Linked DNA regions of Mus musculus. The protein of the gene in region 2 purifies or fractionates together with the protein of the main gene of each other region. This does not show direct contact. Links are inferred from orthologs where the notes say so. Each region holds a gene or a part of one and is shown on either strand. Other genes may lie near its edges.

Region 1 (4,104 bases), on a different chromosome or scaffold from region 2:
CGCTCTGCGGCTGCGAAAACCCGGAGAGGCAGATGGGAGCGCTCGAGGCGCTCGCAGCCAACTCCTCCGCGGTCCGGCCGCCAAGCTGGGCATGCTCAGTGCGGCCGCCGCGCCGCCGTCCGCCAACTCGGGAGCTCGCGCTCCCGGGCCGTGGGGGCGAGAACGCTGGCGACAGCGAGCGACGCCCCCAGGCAGCCGCAAACTTCGCGGCGTCCGCAGTCTGGCGAGCCAGACACCTCGCAACGTCAAATCCAATTCCCCAACCCTAACGGAGCGATGGAGGCTGCGGCCGCCAGGGCGTCCCGGCTGCCCGCCCCTGCCTAGCCGCTAGCTAGGGACCAACAGGTAAACTGTTGGGGGTGGGGATCAGGGCGCGCGACGTCTAGGGGTGGCCCGGGGAGCCCAGTCGCCCGTGCTCCCGATGTGTCCGTCGGTGCTCGCGGCCACCTCTGCTCACCCCCTCCCCAGCCCCGGGAGGGCCAGCAAAGGGTTAAGTCGGCCCCGCGCCACAGCGAGCGCGGCCCCCTCCAGCCGCCGCGGCCGCTGCAGCCGGCAGCCAGCAAAGCGCCCCGGCGCCGCCGAGGGGACCCGCGCAGCTCGTGCACTGGCTGAACCCGGAGGCACCGGCCTCGCTCGGCGTCCGCATCCTCGCCTCTCGCGGCCTCTCTCCCTCCGCGTCCGCGGTTCCGTGCCCGGGCGGCGGGTCCTCCGAGTGCAAAGCTGCGAGCGCCGGGCATGGCGAGCCAGGAAGTGGGCGCGGGCCGCTGCGCAGCACCTCGCGTGCCCGAGGACGCCTAGCTCTCGGCGGGCACCGAGCCTCCCGCCTAGGCGCCAAGAAAAGTTTTTTCCCCCTTTATGCCCCTCCCCCACCCCAGCCTGGGCCCCTCTGGGTGGGTTTGGGTTCATTGGTGAAGAAAGTCACACGTTCCCATCATCTGCTCCTCCCCCTGGGGACCGAGTGGGGGTGGCGGGAGGCCGTGGCCGCGGCGGACCCTGGCCGACCTCCAGCCCGGGCGCCGCCGCCGCCGCCCGCGGAGCAGGCGTCCCGGGGCTCGGCGCAGCGGGGTGCCCACGAAGGCGGCCCCCCTGAGCGCGTCTGCGCGCGGGCAGCGGCCGTCTCCAACCTGCTTTTTCTCCTGCCTGCAGCGCCACGGCGAGCCAGAGTGGAGGGAAGAGGGAGTCTGTCTGCAAAGTGCTGCTCCCTGGTGCTCAGAGGCGGCTGCTCCAGCTCCAGCTCCAACTCTCATTCATTTCGCCGGTTAACATGAGAGATCATGGCCGCCTTCGGGCTTCTCAGCTATGAGCAGAGACCGCTGAAGCGCCCGCGGCTCGGGCCGCCCGACGTCTACCCGCAGGACCCTAAGCAGAAGGAGGTAAGGGCGCCGGCGGCCTCCGCGGTTGTGCGGCGCTCCGCAGCGCTGACCCGGGGCCAAGCTGGCCCGGCGGGCGTCCCCGGCGCTGCGGGGGAAGGGCTGGGGAGGGGATCGGAGGCGGGGCCCGGGTTAGGGTATCAGGGACCCTGAGCTACTGAGACCCGGAGCCTGCCAACCCCCGCGCTCCGCTGGGCGATCGCTCTGCGGGGGGCTGGGTCGCTTCCCGGTTGTCGGGCCTTGCACTGCGCCGCTGGGCGCTTTACCGCTTCTACCTCGCTAGCATCTTCTTGCTCGCTTTCCTCCGTTTTTGCTTGTTTTATTGTTTTTTACTCCGTCGCTTCGATAAATCCTCGTAAACTTTTTGACAAATGCTGGAATGCAGTACATCGGACACTGTGGTCTTGCGTTTTGCGCCAGCGGTATGGGTACGGATGGGGGAGGGACCCTTATCACATCCTCCACTTTGGAATGGAAGTCGTTTTTTAGCGAGGTGATCATATATTTGGCTCGGTGAATGTACCTCTGTATCTCTCGCCTTTAAAAAAAATTTAAGAAAACAATATTGAAGAGAAACACCGAATTTTGTTTCTAGAGAGACAAATTGGCTTTCCCGGAGGCTGTTTTGTATGTGTAAAAGCAGACAAGTTATCTTAGAAAGGAATAGCTTCCAGATTACTTATTTTCTTTGAATGAAATTAAATGGAGAAACCTTGGCTGTTGCACATACAGTAGCTTCAGTGGTTATTGTAAGCTATGTAGGTATGTGTCAGGAGTTAAAAAGTAATTATGTAACAACTCTCCAGCCATAATAATGATCGCCCTTGGCTATACAATTTGCCCAGAGACTTGCCTATCTTCTCTTTTTTGGTTCCCCTGCTCCCCAGCTGTCCTTTGAGACTTTGCCAGCTACAGCCCACCCATCTTCTCTTTTCTATAGTTAAGCATGAAACTGCCATGTATTCTAGTCTTCCCGTGAGCCTGGAAAGTCTATAAAAGTTTGCGTGTCCCCTGATTTCACAAGAGGACTTTGCAAGTCAGAGTTCTTTCAGGCTTCTATTTTGATAAATGTATCCGTCTCTTTAGTAGAGGCTCAGCCCAGACTGGCTAATAATGTGTCTGAGAAATCATCACGAGCAATTCCTTTTGGCCTTCTCCCATTGAGTTTGAGGGTCAGGGAAGTCGATTGAAGATGGCTGGGAAGTTTACAGGTGGGCAGCATGTGCTTATGCAGCTCCTAAGGTCTGGAAAGAAGAGAGACTCTAAAGACCAAGTGTAAAGAAAGGTGATTTTAAAAGTTTTGGCAGGGATAGGGACATTCGTTTCTTAACTTTTCTCATCTTATAATTAGTGCCTCACTAGGTCTTTCTGGAGAGTGACGTAGCTTCGGGTTGGTGGCTTGGATTAGCATGTGTGCTTGTTTATTTAGCATTTATTTTTACATATGACAGTCACTTCAGGACTTGGATCCTGGAAAGAATAATTTTGGACATTGGGTCACTTTCTAGAAATCTAAAGCTGGAAGAAGTGCCTGTAGAGGGTACTTTTTTCCTACTTTGATTTGAGGAGATAGGGTGATTGCAGCTCAGAAGCGCTTGCTTTATCTGAAGTGTGTGGTGAATAAGCACACACTGGGTTATCAGCGCAGCCCTCCTTCAGCCCTGCACTGTGTCCCGGTGACTTGTGCTGCTGCTGCTGCTCCTCGGATTCACTTCCCCCCAGGCGACCGATATTCTATCTCTCTTGAGGAGAGAGTTATATGTGGCTGTAGTCAAATTTGGGTACAATATGGAACAGGTGCTCGGCTGTTTTTTTGGTTGGTGGCGAGCAGATTCCTAAGCTTCAGTTATTTATGTATTATACTACTCCCTCAAATTTCCACCCTGTCCTTGTACAACCAGTAATTTGATCCTTTTATTAACTGTAGATAAACTGTATTGTGTTTTCTGGACAGTCTTGATTTTTTGCAGTTTACTGCAATATGAATATGATTGTATAAGACATCACCCCCCCACACATATATGTTATTATATGCAAACACAAGATATATAATTACACATATTTGAAGGAGGCCAAATCTATACCATTATCCATCAGAGAGCTGTGGTGATTTGTTTGAGAACGGTCACACTGATCTACCCAAGCTGATGTTGAACTCAAGATCTTGCTTCCATTTCTAAAGTCCTGAGATCCTAGACCTGTACCACCACATTGAGATAAAGTATTGATTGAATGGAGGAAGTCCAGGCTTCCGGTTTGACCGTGGTGAGTTTGAATTATGGTTGAGCATCTTAGTGGTTGGCAAATTTGGATCACGCCTCTCTTGTTAACTAGTTTAGTTGTGCTCGTCAGGAAAAACAAGGTAAAACTTTATAATTTTCCTCATGTTTGGGTAAGAAAATCCCTATTCTTCACTGAACCAAAGTTGCCTGATTGCTACCGATGAAGTTTTTATTGATAAGAAGTGGTAAGAGCGTTCTGGAAATAGGGTCCCAGGCTACGGAGTGGAATCCTTCGGGAGGACTCTGTGGAGACAGAATGAAAAGATCCGTTAACCTGCCTCATCAGTTGATCGAATTCATTCACGAGCTTTGCAGTGCCCTGGTCTCCCTTTAGACTTTATTAAATGTGGTGGTAGAGTACTTTGTCATCTGCACATAGACTGCCCTCCCCTTTAAAAATGGGGAATCAGAAAAGCAGGGGTCTTTCTCGAGTCTTCTTCCTCTACAGCTTA
Region 2 (4,038 bases):
CAATGATCAGATGGAGGCAAGGAAGAGCAGTTCAAGGTCGCCATCCTCAACTATGTAAGGGAGTTTGAGGCCAGTTTGTACTACATGAAAAACAAAAATTTTTTTAAACTGTAAATTATCAGAAATGTATTCTTCAAGATTCAAGTTGTAACCTTGTTGCTTAAATTTGTTTGTTTTTGGGGCATGATGGATCTCAGCATAAGAGAGGCAGAGACAGAGGCACTCAGATCTGTCAGTTTGAGGCCATCCTGGAGTATGTGGACAGTTCTAGGCCAGCCAGAGTTACATAAGATTCTGCCTCAAAAGAAGCAAAACTAAAAAGCATTGCATTTAAGTAATTTGAGAATATAAGTTCACACCATTCACAAACTAAACATATGTTCTCACTAGTCCTAACCCCTGAAGCCTCATTTAGTATTTCCAATCAATAAACATTTCTATTGTTTTGCTGTCATTATTTCAATGTAAAATTCTGAATTGTCATTGAAAAGCTAACCTGGTTGGCTTTCTAAGTTGCAGTGTTCTATTTAGCAGCACTGTCATAAGAAAGAAAAATATAAATGAAGCTTACTCAATACAGCAGCTAGTGTTCTGTCTTGTAAATTCATTCAAGACCCATTATTAATCTGTTCAAAAATATTTATTGAAAAACCAACTCCATGACAAGTACTGTATATATTATAGAAATGAACATGGAGTTTCCAGATGGCAGAACAAATGTTAATATTGCTCTGTGTTCCAATCTACTTTAGCTCTTAAGAGCTGAAAACAATCCACTGTAACTCCCTAGCCACATATGGGGTTTGTTTGCATCATCTAAAAGTCTCTTGAGTTTATGACATCTTTCTAAGCTCCTAGAATAGTTCTTTGTAAACACATTCCCTGTAGACACAGTAGGCATACATATTAACTCAATTATCAGTACTCCTAAGACTATATCGTATCCTTAACATCCTAACTATAGGACCTACATGAATATGCATACTTAGGAGATGAGCTTCTACACAGCATTATTAAGATTTGTAAAACCAAAAAAATTTAAATTAAAACAAGAAAGACTTGTAAAATTACAAAAGTATTTTCTTGGGAGAGGTTGGCTGGCAGCCCAGGGAATCTTTGCAAAACAGAATGTACCTTGGTGACTTCATCAACATTTAAGAGATAGCCCCTCAACTTTAAAACTACTTTATTTACACAGAATAGACTAGTCTTCCCACTAGTAGATACACAATTTCAATGTACTCTCAAAAATGATGAATTACCAAGAAGCCTTGTTATAACATTCCTGTTTAAAAAACACTGTCCAGAGAACTAGGTATTTAGATTTTTTTTTTCAGCAGGCATATACTGTGTAGGCTCTTCTACATCAAACTACAACCAGAATGACACTAAGAGATTTTAATTACCAATGGAAAACTGTTGCACTATTTTTGTTGTTGTTGTTTTGGTTTGGTTTTTTTTTTTCGAGACAGGGTTTCTCTGTGTAGCCCTGGCTCTCCTGGAACTCACTCTGTAGACCAGGTGGCCTTGAATTCAGAAATCCGCCTGCCTCTGCCTCCCAAGTGCTGGGATTACAGGAATTAAAGATGTGGGTCACCATTCCAGGCTCAGTATTTAGTTTTCCATTCATGTACAATTAAGCCAGAATAACAGCCAGAGGCGACAAAGTTAGAGAAGCTAGCAGTTTTCAGGAGCTTTTGTTGTAGATTTTGATTACTGGGCTGTTTTTTTTTTTTGTTTTTAACGCCAATCTGGTCTCCACAGTGTGCAGGTCAGCCAGAGCTACACAGTGAGACCATCTCAAAACAAAACAAAAATCCCTCTTGTGTACATTCACTGTTCTGTGGTACTGTGCTGTAAGAGCTTCACTCCACCTATAAGAGCCTCTTAGGGAAGATCGTAAAGCAGACTTAAACAAATGCAAAGAAACGGAGAGGCCAGGATCTGGCCTCTTCTAGACGTTACTCTCCAACCATTGGTGCTGGAGTCGCCAAGAGCGGAGGGAGGAGTGAAGGCCTACAGAAAGCAAGGCAAGCTCACGCCCTGGTCACTCATACACCAACCTACAAACACTCAACACTTTGTTGTGGTCTTTTGTGTTTTGTTTTCTGAGATGGGCTATCAAACTGGAGCTCAGGCTGGCCCGGAGCTCGCTGCAATCCTCCTGTCTCAGCCTCAGAGGTGGAATCACAGGAGAAATCCGTTTGGCAGGTTGAAATTGAAACGCGAGGGAGGGATACACACAAAAGTGCTTAGGCGTGTGCTGCCCCACAAAGGAAGTTCTAGAAGCATCCCTGGAACTTGAGTACTCGCTTCCTGGCTACCTGGCCGCAGACCTTGAGTCTCCTCAGGAGAGGCCGTCGTCGGGTCCCCTCCTTATTAGCGGCCACTCGTTCCCTTCCTCAAGTTCGCACCTCACCAGAGGCCCCGGGTCCCATGGCTCTCAGGAGAGACTGGCAGGTCCCACATCCTCTCAGGAGAGACCCCCGGGTCCCACCTCCCTTAGGAGAGACTGGCGGCTCCGACCTCCCCTCAGGACAGGCCCCCGGGTCCCGCCTCCCCTCAGGACAAGCCGCCCGGCCCGGTCTCCCCTCAGGACAGGCCCGTCTCCTCAGACCCCGCCCTGTGGACTACGTGAGACCCAGGCCTCACGGGGTGCGCCGCCCGCGGCGACCTCAATCTGCGCGCTCCCCGGGGCCTTGCCTCGCCCCTTCCTCCTCTCTCCGCGTCAGGAAAGCAAGGCTGGCGAGCAGAGGAAAGCCCTCACCGAGTTCACAGCGTCCTGCAGCTGAGTGAGTCTATCCGCCATGTTCACCACGCACGCAAGGGTGCGCAAAAGCTGCTAGAGCGCGAGCGATTGGCCAATTTATGACGCCTCCGGACCAATCACAGGCCTTCCTCCTTGAGGGGCGTGGTTAAGGAAGCATGCTGCCGGGGAGGGGCGGGGCCAGCCTGCGGGCCTGCTGACGTCAGGCGGGTGGGATCCAGGGCTGGTGTGGGGGAGGAGGGACGCGTGCAGGCTGAGCTGCTACGGGTTCGCGTTTACGCTGGACCGAGCCTGTGAAGGGAAGGTGCTTCCTCCATTCTGTCTGTTAGCTCTGACGAGGCTATGCCTCACGGTGTAGTCCTGGCTGGCCTGGAATGTGTTTTGTTTGTGAGGGGTTTTGTTTTTGTTCGTTCGTTTCTTTGTTTTGTTTATCTGGAACACTTGTTTTCCTTTGCTTTTACTTTGCAGGTATACCACAAAGCATACTCGCAGCCCGCCATTCACAACATTTAAATTCGAGAAATTAACATTCTCCAGGAAATCAAAATGGCTAGAAAAGGGTGGCTAATTAGTTTGGGGCAGGAGGTGCTTACCCAACTGGAGACTAGATTAGTGCTTTAATTCTGAGTGGGAGTGCCTGGGGGAAATGGAAAGCATTAAACAGCTCTGTGATGAGGAACGGGTGATAAGTAAAGTGAAAAGGAGGAAGAAGAGCATTTGAAGGTAGGAGGTGCAAACTCTGTAGACCAGGCTGGCCTCGAACGCAGAAATCTGCCTGCCTCTGCCTTCCAAGTGCTGGGATTAAAGGTGTGCGCCACCACGCCCGGTCTAGGCAGGTTCGATCTTAAGAAAGATCAGCTTCAGAATGTAAATTTAGAACTGGGGCTTCCTGACAGTTTTCCGTGTGAAGGGTGATAGCAGAAAGGTCATTTCTGTTAGCCTGGGGATATTCTGATGGGAAGTGAGTCCTGAATCTGCAAATACCTGGTTTGTGGAACTCAGACAAACTGTTTATCATAGTTTCCAAGATGATCATTTCTGGAGTTGGAGGTGGGTGGGTATGTGAGCCTGTTTTTTGTTGCTACAACTGAATAGCACAGACAAGCAATTACAAAGAACGTTTACTCCCTACAGTGTTCTGGAGGCTGGGAAGTCCACTATCAAGGTGGACTGTCATCGTGAGAGAGCCTTCTTGGTGAATCCTAACAGAGGAGGACATAACAGATGAGGAGGTTGGGAGGTATCCACCAGAGAAGACTCCTCAGATGTGG

Evidence for each region. The genes of interacting proteins can lie anywhere in the genome.
Region 1: the proteins of Med21 (region 2) and Med12l purify together in Homo sapiens (affinity purification with mass spectrometry; 3 studies listed by BioGRID and IntAct, counting the BioPlex papers as one, with this or other methods). This does not show direct contact. The link is inferred for Mus musculus from reciprocal best matches to the Homo sapiens genes MED21 and MED12L.

Annotation. Positions count from the first base shown.
Region 1 is NC_000069.6:59,005,728-59,009,831, forward strand, and holds the start of Med12l (mediator of RNA polymerase II transcription subunit 12-like protein), read left to right. Parts: upstream 1-1,250; 5' UTR 1,251-1,274; coding exon 1,275-1,373; intron 1,374-4,104. UniProt on the Homo sapiens protein: May be a component of the Mediator complex, a coactivator involved in the regulated transcription of nearly all RNA polymerase II-dependent genes.
Region 2 is NC_000072.6:146,641,382-146,645,419, reverse strand, and holds the start of Med21 (mediator of RNA polymerase II transcription subunit 21), read right to left. Parts: upstream 2,842-4,038; 5' UTR 2,810-2,841; coding exon 2,768-2,809; intron 1-2,767. UniProt on the Homo sapiens protein: Component of the Mediator complex, a coactivator involved in the regulated transcription of nearly all RNA polymerase II-dependent genes.